Linked DNA regions of Callithrix jacchus. The protein of the gene in region 3 purifies or fractionates together with the protein of the main gene of each other region. This does not show direct contact. Links are inferred from orthologs where the notes say so. Each region holds a gene or a part of one and is shown on either strand. Other genes may lie near its edges. The genes, in order: OTUD4, ARFGEF2 and MYCBP.

Evidence for each region.
Region 1: the proteins of MYCBP (region 3) and OTUD4 purify together in Homo sapiens (co-immunoprecipitation; 3 studies listed by BioGRID and IntAct, with this or other methods). This does not show direct contact. The link is inferred for Callithrix jacchus from reciprocal best matches to the Homo sapiens genes MYCBP and OTUD4.
Region 2: the proteins of MYCBP (region 3) and ARFGEF2 purify together in Homo sapiens (co-immunoprecipitation; 4 studies listed by BioGRID and IntAct, with this or other methods). This does not show direct contact. The link is inferred for Callithrix jacchus from reciprocal best matches to the Homo sapiens genes MYCBP and ARFGEF2.

What each region holds. Positions count from the first base shown.
Region 1 is NC_133504.1:51,842,203-51,845,854, reverse strand, and holds part of OTUD4 (OTU domain-containing protein 4), read right to left. Parts: intron 3,224-3,652; coding exon 3,169-3,223; intron 2,946-3,168; coding exon 2,828-2,945; intron 2,733-2,827; coding exon 2,668-2,732; intron 1-2,667.
Region 2 is NC_133506.1:44,070,944-44,074,595, forward strand, and holds part of ARFGEF2 (brefeldin A-inhibited guanine nucleotide-exchange protein 2), read left to right. Parts: intron 1-1,281; coding exon 1,282-1,440; intron 1,441-3,652. UniProt on the Homo sapiens protein: Promotes guanine-nucleotide exchange on ARF1 and ARF3 and to a lower extent on ARF5 and ARF6. Promotes the activation of ARF1/ARF5/ARF6 through replacement of GDP with GTP. Involved in the regulation of Golgi vesicular transport.
Region 3 is NC_133508.1:75,429,806-75,433,557, forward strand, and holds the start of MYCBP (C-Myc-binding protein), read right to left. Parts: upstream 2,569-3,752; 5' UTR 2,567-2,568; coding exon 2,483-2,566; exon of another isoform or gene 2,281-2,482; coding exon 2,109-2,280; exon of another isoform or gene 1-2,108. UniProt on the Homo sapiens protein: May control the transcriptional activity of MYC. Stimulates the activation of E box-dependent transcription by MYC.

The DNA.
Region 1 (3,652 bases), on a different chromosome or scaffold from region 3:
CGTTTTGTTTTGAGACAAGGTCTTGCTCTGTCACCCAGGCTGGAGTGCAGTGGCACAATCTCAGCTCACTGCAACCTCCACCTCCCTGGTTCAAGCCTGGGATTATCCTGCCGCAACCTCCCGAGTAGCTGGGGATTACAGGCATGTACCACCACCCTCAGCTAAGGTGTTTTGTTTTGTTTTGTTTTTTGTATTTTTAGCAGAGACAAGGTTTCACCATGTTGGCCAGGCTGGTCTTGAACTCCTGACCTCAAGTGATCTGCCTGCCTCAACTTCCCAAAGTGCTGGGATTACAGGCATGAGCCACCTCGCCCAGCCAGTTTTTTTTTTAATTTAGTCTTTGATTAAACAGAAAATAAAGCTTATCAGTAAAAACAAAGTATAAGTTCAAAAAGGTCTGCAATAAAATCCATCTCCTTAACCTCTCAGACGTCCCTATATCCTACCTAAAAGAAAAAAAACTTTTCTTCTCTGTTCCTTTAAATTTTTTTCTAAACTAATTTTCTAAATTATTCAAAAAGTAGGAGCACAGTATGTTAAGGCTCTAAACAAAAGAGGCAACATGTCCTGGTTCTGAAGGCAGGGCTGTGGTCCCACACACCCCAGGCTTCCAGGCCTGGCGTTTCCACTTACCGGCAATATGACCTCGAGCAAGTTATTTTTCTCTCCCTTCAGTTTCCTCATAATGCAAAATGGAGCTAATAATAGTACCTACATCACAGAACTCATGGAGATGGAATGAGAGTGCACAGGATACACATAAAGGATACCAACTTGCACACAGCAACCACTCTACAAATGAGAGCAACTATTATTATCTTCCCATTTTTCCTATATTAAAAATGTGCAACTGTGATTTTTTTTTTAATCCCTAAAAATAGATCCATTAACTGTTCTCTAGCATACAATTAGTAGTACCCAACGGTAAATCCATGATAAAAGAGTAATAAGCCTAAGGTTTCTTCCTATCGGTAATCTGCCCACATTGAATTGTGCACCTGCCAAGTATGACATACAGGACAATGCTTTAAGCAACCTCCCACTTTCAGTAGTAAATCAAAGTCCTCAATCTGATATTTCATTCTTTATCAGTCCAACAGACATTTTTCCTCCAAAAGTTTCAAGTAAAAAATTTTTTCTGAACTTGGTTTTTAATCAAAAGTTTAAACTACACTTAACTTCAGTAAACAAAAGTCACCTTAGAGTCAGTCACCTCAGTTTCTTAAAAGTTTAACGAAATGTTATCCAAATAAAATGGTCAAGTAGTAGAGATGGAAATAAAATACTCTAAAAAGGAAAAAAAATTAAAGTATGTGCTTTACTATCTACTTTATCAAAAACCTTCTTTACCAAAAGCAATTTCAACCTCAAATGAAATATGCTTGATTTAAAATAAATAACAAAACTTTAGTGATACAGTGTAAGCCATATTCTCTTCTCTGTTGAGGAGGGTAGGGAGAACGGCCTTTAAACCCTGGATTTAACCTCCTTTGTCCTCTTTCAAGTTTTCTCAGTCAATGCAGTAAAAGCTTCCGCAATTCCCTTCTACAATTAGAGCAGACAATCCCATAACACAGTACCTGAATGAATCATGTTCTCTTCTTCCTCACCTTTAAATACCCAGAATCAGAACTATTAAAGGTTCTGAAGATAAAGTCCATCGTTGATGTCCCAAATAAAATCCTGGCTAATCAGATGATTTCACATAAACCAATTTATCACATAATATGATAATATTATAATAATATTATGACTTAAAGTAAATGAGTGTTTCCTCCATAAGTCAAGAAGAAATGTTTGCCAATGACTGTTTTAAAGTAGTTTTTTTTAAAGGCAACACTTTTTGATGAAAATAATTTCTGATGAGAATTAACTTCCACATAACATCATCTGTATATGTGGGGGTTTTGTTTCTGTTTTTGAAATAGCAATATTTTTCTGTAAACAAAGAAGAGAAAACAAGAAAAGAGACCCTATAAATTATCTTACCTAGGGTTTCTTCTGCCTAAGCATTACTGACACTTTGGACTAGGTATTCTTTGTTAGAAGGACATGAGGGAGGCTGTCCTGTACATTGTAGAATGTTTGGCCACAGGTTTGGCCTCTACCCACTAGATGTCAGTAGCACCCTCCCAGTTGTGACAATAAAAACTGATTTTAATCCAACTTTTTCCTTTAACAATCAGTTACTCAAACCCAGGGCAGCTGCTTATCCAAATTAATTGGCAAAAACTCCTCTGTGGTTCACTTTCCTTCCTCAGTCCAACAGTAAACATTATGTATGTATCGAAATCTCCCAACATGATTTTCATAAACAAAACTAAATGACCTATAAAGTCAATTTTCAATCAATTTCCGTCTATTTTAACAAAAATACCTAGGTATCTGAAAAGGTATTGTTACTTCTTTGAACCAAGCAATACCAAATGCTGAATTACTTTTAAAGATCATGTGATGGATGCCACGGTTTTGAATACATACAATTTTGGCAATGTATTCAAATGAATCAAAAAGCTGAATACTTGTAAACTACTGAAATGTATATACATAATAAATATATTCTGAAATCCCAAATTAACAACACATTAACACCTCAGCTGTTTTCTCAGTTCTTATTAAAAAAATAAGGTTTCAAGTAAAATCCCTTCTTTTCCACAAGTCACTTACTTGACATTTGTCTCCAACTTCATATTGTAAGCCAGCAGCAATGGAATAATCACGTTTCTGCTGAGCTAGTTAAAAAGAAAAATTGAGTATAATATAAAGTTGACTTATTTTCAAGTGCTACAAAAAGCAAATTTATGGAAAATGCAGATTTTTAATTTACCTTGTTTAGACTTCAGCCAAATTTCATATTCTACATTTCTATAGACTGCGGGACTGAGTGACTTAAGAACCTTTCTAGATAAAGGCAGGCTAGCAGAGTTCCCATTGTTCTTCAGCTGCTAAACAAACAAAGTCAGGAAGTCCAATCAACACATAAGTGCTTTAAAACATTTTTGTCTAAGATACATGTAAGAGTAAAGTCAAATGAATAAAAGAAACTTGAAAAAATTAATAAGTCACCAAATAAATTTCTTAGTAGATGATTCTAATTTGACTGAAATGTATCAGAAAAAAGAAAAAACTTAAAACTTTAAATTTAAAACCACTTAAAAAAAAAAATACCTCATCCCCTGACGAAGGTTTAAATCCATTCACATCAGCAGCAGCAGTTTTACTCCTATAAAGAAAGATTACCATAATTAGGAGCAGAAAAAGATATTTGCATGTAATTACCTTCTAACCTCATCTAAAAGTCTTCAAAGTCAGAACTATGCTCCAAAACGTCAGAACTATATTCCAGTGAGCTCATACAAGCTTTATTATAAGTATATGTATATATAAAAGGGTATATGTAAGTAAATATGTGTATATAAGATAGATGTCAAAGACACCAGTAATTCTAACTGGCTCAGTAATCAATAAGAAAACAAAAATAAACTGTGAAATAAGGATGGGTAGAGTAACTGAATTTACAAAACAATGTAAAAACTTCCTTTCAATATACACCTGAGGCCCCGTTTAAAAAAAATACTCTATTTACAACAAAACTATCTATTGGCAGATTTGACAACACTTTTATTAAAAATATTCTACATTAAATAATATT
Region 2 (3,652 bases), on a different chromosome or scaffold from region 3:
CAGAAATTGTCAGTTAAATTAAGAGTCTTAGCAAACTACTTACTCATGCCTACTAAGAAGAAATCCATAGCTTTATGATGACAGTTCATTAGGGGCAAAAATGGAGATATGGATTAAAACTGTCTTTAAGAATAGGTAGGCCAAGCACAGTGGCTCACACCTGTAATCCCAGCACTTTGGGAGGCTGAGGCAGGCAGATCACCTGAGGTCGGGAATTCAAGACCAGCCTGACCAACATGGAGAAATCCCATCCCTACTAAAAATGCAAAATTAGCCAGGCGTGGTGGTGCATGCTTGCAATCCAAGCTACTTGGGAGGCTGAGGCAGGAGACTCGCTTAAACCCAGAAGGCAGAGATAATGGTGAGCCAAGGTCGCACAATTGCACTCCAGCCTGGGCAACAAGAGTGAAACTCCATCTCAAAATTAAAAGAAAAAGGAGGGGGTAGGGTTCAAGCTACTTGACTGGATTTGACAAAACAGACTTCCTGTTCATCTGCCTAACTTGCCTACTTTGGTGTATAAAAATATTATTTTCTAAGATCAGTTTTTATTATAATTTCTCATATTTCCAACTCTTCCCTGGAGAAACAAGTAGTTCAGTGCAATATGAATATGTCTGTAAACCTTCTGAAACTTGAAAAGTTTAAGCATATAAATGAAATATAATTCTGAAACTGTTATGAAATTAGGAGGTTGGCAAAATCCCATGCATCACTTTGTAAGTCAGTAAGAAGTTGCACCCCATTTATTTTTAAAAACTCAATCTTCTGTTCCCATTCATTTTACAGTTAGACATTTTCTTTTATACCAAGACCACAAGCTTTGAAGTTAGACCATCTAGACTTCAAAACCCAGCTCTGCCACTTCTCCAGCCATGTAACATTGGCCCAGCTAATGTCTCTCCAAGACACCAATTCATTTTCTCATTTGTAAACTTGAGAAAACAGACCTCCCTGGCAGAATTATTGGAGATGTCAGAATTTATGTGACAATCTTAGCATTCAGCAGACATAATGGAACATGGGACTGATAAGTTTGTAGTCAATTAGAAAGGAGAGAGCTGCTTCTCAAACATGTGGCAGTACATAGAGAGCCTCTCTGCAAGATGTTTCAAAAGTGAGAGGGCATTAGCATGGAATAACTGTTGTGTTAATGTGCAGAAAGCCAGTCAGTGTGCATACAAAAGGTATTAGAGAAGCCCAGTGTGCCAGCCCTGCAGATGTGAGAGTGGCCACTCTAGGGTTGGAGTCACAGTGTTTTCTCTTGGGCTTCTGTTACAGCTGGAACGAGATGCCTATGTTCAGGCTCTTGCTCGCTTCTCCCTGCTCACAGCCAGCTCCAGCATCACAGAAATGAAGCAGAAAAACATCGACACCATTAAGACACTTATCACAGTGGCTCACACTGATGGTAACTACCTTGGGAATTCTTGGCATGAGGTATGTGTCTCTTTGAATTGCCTTTTCTCAGTTAGGATGACTCCTGGCTTCCTTTTATTCATTGTTGATCTCTTTTGGTCAATTCAATTTTTCTTGAAGTCAAGCCTCACTGTACCACATGTATCTGAAAATCACCCTCTCTGGGGCTGTGAAAGGTGGGAGCGAGTTCAGGTGCACCAGCTCACAGTGAGCACCCTTGCACCCAGCAGCCAATGTCCCCCATGAAGTGTACGTCTATTGTTGCAGCTTTCTTTCCATATTAATGCCACTTTTTTAAAAGTCATTATGTACCTCTTGGGAGGTTGGGAGCTCCTATGATCAATGTATAAATTTAAGACAAAGCCAGGAGCCTGATTAGAAATGGTTGGCAGTCGCAATGAACGTTCAGTAGAGTGCTAGTGAGTTTACATTTTTTTTTAAACAGTATTCTAAGATTCTCACCCAAGGATACAATTACTTAGGTATACAGCAATGTATTTAAAAGGATATTTGTTGCAGTTTTAGTTGTTCTAGGGAAAAGGTTGGGTTAAAAAGAGCTAGATGTCCCAACAATATAAGAGATTGCTATTTTTTTTTAAAGTATGGTACAGCATTCCTTAGGTTATGTGGCCATTTAAAATAATGTTGTGGAAAAGAAAAGATAGGCAGATAGTATGTGCTCTCTGATAGAAGTGCACAATACTACCTAAGAAATGTGCTAGCCCCGACTCAAATCTGAATCAGTTCAAGCCTATATTGCCAGTTTACAGAAGAAACAATGAAAAGAGAAGCCTGTTAGATATAAGGGTACAGCTTGCAAACTCTAGGTGTGACAGATCTGCAGAGCAGAAGACCAGGTTTTTCAGCAAATAAATTGCAAGAAAAATAAGTGGAAGGGAGGAGGGTACCTATGGATTAAAAGAGATTTCAGAAAAAAAGATAAAGATGGTATTAAAGACTATTGTGGGAAAACAGTCACAGTAAAATTACAAGTTGTTATAAGACACTGTGAGGCATTGTCTCTTGTGGGAAAATACACAGAGAATGGAGTTTGAAAGGATAGACCAAAGCATTAACATTCTTGTCTGAGTGATGGAATTAATGGAAACTGTTTCGTTCTCGTTTTTCTTCATTTCTAGTATTTTTCTACCATCTGCATGTATTACTGTTTTGTTTAGAGAGAAAATTGTGGAAGAATAGAGATGAGGCTGTGGAGAATGTAAAGGATGGTTTGACATAGAAAGAAAATTACTGTCATCCTTCTTCTTCAGGTGGACCAAGTGGCTCAGAGTAAAGGCTCTAGAGCCTGGCAACTGGGGCCCAATTTGGAACTCCACCTCTCCTGCCTGGATGGCACAGGCAGGTTACTTTGTCACCAAGTCCCACCTTCTTTATCTCTGCAGCCTTCATAGGGTGGTTATGAGAATGAAAAGGGCTCGGGACTGTATTTGGCAAGGAGTAAGAACTCATTAGTGTTACCGGCTGTCTTCTTTGTGGCACCTGGCTTTGCCCCTCTTCACCAGCCTTTCCTCTCTCTGTCACAACTCTGAGTAACCCACGTTAGAAATAACTTAGTTACAGCTGGGCATAGTGGCTCACATCTGTAATCACACTTTTAGGGGTTGAAGCAGAAGGATTGCTTGAGACGAAGAGTTCCAGACCGGCCTGGGCAACATAACAAGACCCCGTATCTTTAAAAAAAAATTGTTTTTTAAATAGCTAGACATGGTGGTGCATGACTGTAGTCCCAGCTGCTTGGGAGGCTGAGGCAGCAGGATTGTTTGAGCACAGGAGTTCAAGGCTGCAGTGAGCTGCGATTGCACCACTGTGCTCCAGCTGGGGCAACTGAGCAAGACCTTGTCTCTAAAAGGAAAAAAAATTTTGAGTTGTGTGCTTTTTAAAATCATTTTCTGCCTTGTAAGGAGTCATAATACCTAGAGAATCAATGAATACTTGCTTTTTCTTCTAAAACTTTTTTTAGGCTGGGAGGTATGACCAATATGAAGTTCCTGCTGCCTGCCAAGTATATGATAGGATCTAGAAATGTTGAAAATTAATTAGCTACCTCTGTGGTTGTCAGAAGCCCTGAGAAATCAGCTTGGAACTAATAAGCTCTTGGCCTTTCAGTATTGGTGACATACTTCGAATTCCAGCTATCCCCAGCTTCTGCAAAAGAAAGGGCATTACTAGGTTACTACTAATAATTTAATAGTATCATGCTGTGTGAAGAAAT
Region 3 (3,752 bases):
GAACTGTGTAAAGCACCTATGTTTGAAGCTGAAAGTCAAATTTTTAATAAATTACATCAATACTGTGTTGTTTGATTTTATTTAGGAGCCTGGAAATCTAAGGAGATTGAGAGGTTAAATTCCAGTGGAGTCCGGGTGAGGTGGCCCACACCTGTAATCCCAGCACTTTGGGAGGCTGAGGCAGGTGGATCACCTAAGGCCAGGAGTTCAAGATCAGCCTAGCCCACATGTTGAAACCCCGTTTCTACTAAAAATACCAAAAATTAGCTGGGCATAGTGACACATGCCTGTAATCCCAGCTACCTGGGAGGCTGAGGCAGGAGAATTGCTTGAACCCGGGGGCTGCAGTGAGCCAAGATCATGCCACTGCACTTCACCCTGGGCAACATCTTCTGTGTAATCAGTTACCTCCTAAAACTGTCATTTTTCTGCCTTTTACCATTCAGTCTTTCACTTGCTCCATCCAACCACTCTGGCCTACTTATATGTTCTGGAACTCTTGACATATATTATTTCTTTCAAGTTTTTGCTCAAAAGTTACTAAAGAAAGCCCCGCCCCCCCACACACACTATAAAAATGACACACACATCACCACCTGTCACTTTTTTTTTTTTTTTTTTGAGACAAGGTCTTACTCTGTTGCCCAGTGACACAATCACAACTCACTGCAGCCTTGACCTCCTGGGCGCAGGTGATTCTCTCACCTCAGCCTCCAGAGTAGCTAGACTACAGACAAGCACCATGTCAAGCAATTTTTTTTTTTTTTTTTTTTTTTTTAAAGAGACGGGGTTTTGCCATGTTGCCTAGGCTGGTCTTAAACTCCTGGGCTCAAGAGATCCACCCACCTCAGCCTCCCAAAGTGCTGAGATTACAGGCATGAGCAGTGCCTGGCCTCACCTGTTCCTCTTTATCCCCCTAACTCTGCTATATTTTTATCTGTAACACTTATCACTGGCTGACACTACAATTTATGTATTTGTCTCCCTCAACTAGGATACAAGCTTATGAGAGCAGAGACTTTTATCTTCACCTGCTGTATCTCCAGTGGGCAGAACAAAGGCCTAAGTAAAATGATTAAATAAAAGAAATGAACTTATGGAGTTTTTAGAGGGAGTGACATTCAAAGCATCTGTGACACTTCCAGAGACAACAGTGCACAGTGCTTTCACAGAGCAGTCCCTTAATATTTGTTGAAGTTTATTTGCAAAGAGGTAACCTATTATCTGAACCTGGAATAGGTAGCAATTCAAAATTACTAGCCCATGGAAATTAAAAGCCTGCCTTCTGCTAAGACTCAGGAGTTATGATCCTAGAATTTTCCCCTAAACTTTGCTTCTGTCCAAAGAGCAGTTAACAATTTATTTCCCACACTTCCCAAACTTCCTAGTTTCATTTCACCTAGGTCCTCATCCCTGCCAACAATTCCATTCTACACCCTTGAAAATCCCAGAGTTGAGTGACACACAGCAGGCATTCAAATTACTGCTAAGCTAATGAAGTAAACTGTATCCTACCCTTTGGAATTCTGTTTCCAACACTTTACTCATTTACTTACTTAGATCTTGAAGCAACGAAGGAAGAGATGGTGTTAACAGTAAGCTTTCATTTTTAAAAAGTGAAAACGATATAATCATTTTGATGTGCCCTCGAGCTCTTTAAACTGTAATTCTACTTTATGAAATATACACAAAATAAGAATTGACACAGACTAAGGAATGGGGGTTGAAAAGCCACAGCCAAATTAGCTATGAATCGCCTATTTTGGGGATTAGGTTCACTCAGCTACTTCATAGCCCACTTTCAAATTCGGTCATTTTTCCAGTTGCTCTTTGTTGGATGGAAAATGTTTCTTAACAAGATTATGAGGACTCCACAAAAACTGTAAGGTGGGAGGAATTGGGATCTGAAGGTCTTTGGCAAGCACGTCCACTGCGGCTGCTCGAGGCAAAGCAACGGAAGTTGGAGAGACTTTGCAACAGCTGCAAGAGTTTCACTCCCGGTGCGGAGAAGGGTAGCGTAGTTAGGCTACCCCACCCGGGCGGCGTCCAGCAGCCAGGGCCCTGCCGAACCCCGAGGCCCACCTCGCTGGACCCCGCACGGCTCCCACCTGTTTCCCCTCCTTCCCACGCTACGGCCCGCTGGGGAACGAGGCAATGCCAGGGAGCACGATGAGGGCACAAGGTATCCTCTCCTAGCCCAGGCTCACCCTTGGTCAGTGTGTCCAGCACCCCAGACTTCTCCAAGTACCTCCGGAACTGCTCACGCTTCGAGTCGGCGGCCTGAGGAGACACCGGGGGTCAGTGGCCAGAGCCTGGGGGCCGAGCAGGAAGAAGGCGCTGGGAGTCCGGCAACCCCGCCTCCGCCTCGCTACCTCCGGCCCACCCCGCGCCGAAACCTGCGCGCGCGACCCCACTCCCACCCGGAGCCGACCAGCGGCTTCCTACCGCCCGCATGCCCCCAGCCACGCCGCGCCCCCCTCACTTTGTAATGGGCCATAGTGACAGCGGCAACGGCGTAGCTGGCGCCGGAGACCGCGACTGGCGGGCTGGGAACAGCACTGCTCATGCGCGGAAGGGGCGCGCGCCTGCGCACTTGCGAACCACGAGCCGGAATCGCCGGGGTGTGGCCTGTTTTCATGGCTACCAGGACGCTCTGCATCCTCCGTAGCAGGCTGAGCCAAGGGAGGCTGCGTATGCCCGCCCCTCTGGCTATTGGAAGCGCAACTCTTCCTTTTCCGGTCGCCGTAGCGTTTCGTTTTCTTTGCAAAAGGCGAGATTTTTGTAGCTTTGTCCAGGTGATCGGCCTGGCGTCCGGAGGCAAGGCCCGGGAGCTTTGGGACTATTGCAGGAGGAAGGATATCCGCACGGTAGCGAGCGCATCTTTCTCATCTGGGACCTCGGAAGTTGTGGTGACCCATAGGTGCTAGGCTTCTTGGCTCTCATTCTGAGAAAGTGCTCACAGCTTTGCAATAGCTGAGGAGGGTGTTTAGAATCGTATATTTTGGCCCCAGCTTTTATCTTTAGAGTCTCCTTGAGTCGTGGCTGACTTGATGCGGGCCTCTAAGCAGTAACGAGCTGGCAATAGTTTTTGAGTGTTTACTGTGTGCCAGGCACTGTGGAAAACACAGGTATTTTAAATTTTAATCCTCACAACACCCCTGTAGTGTGGGTACAGTTAATAAAGTGGAGAGGTTAGATGTCCAGTGAGTAGAGCCGAGTCCAATGCGGGCCGTGAATCACGATGCTATCAACTGGTGAAAGAAAGCCACGGATCTTTTAAAGATTTTATTTACTAGGTAGCAACATGTGATTATACTCAAGATACATCAGGATCCAATCCAGAAGGAAACTACGTGATTGTGTTCTAGGGGCAAACAAAATTAACCCAGTGTTCAAAGATAAAGGATTCATAACTAAAAGGTGGAAGTATATAGATCAAGAGCCATTTCCTAAGGCTGTGGTCTCTTCAAAGATAAAACCAGAATAGCCTCAATTTAGCCTCAATTCTGAACATACGATTTTCCCAAAATCAGTTACACACATTCGAAAGGACATCATTAAAAAATCCGGATTTGGCAGCTTTATGTCTTTGAATTTAGAAGTGTTTCTTCACCATCTAAAATCAGCTGTTTTTCCATTGCTGAAATAAGTTTGCAGTTGTCTCTCTTTAACAGCTGGTCTTTAGAGCGGCCCTTAACTATTTTATCTGTGCCCCACCACCACTAGGTTACTTCTATGATAATACATAAAAT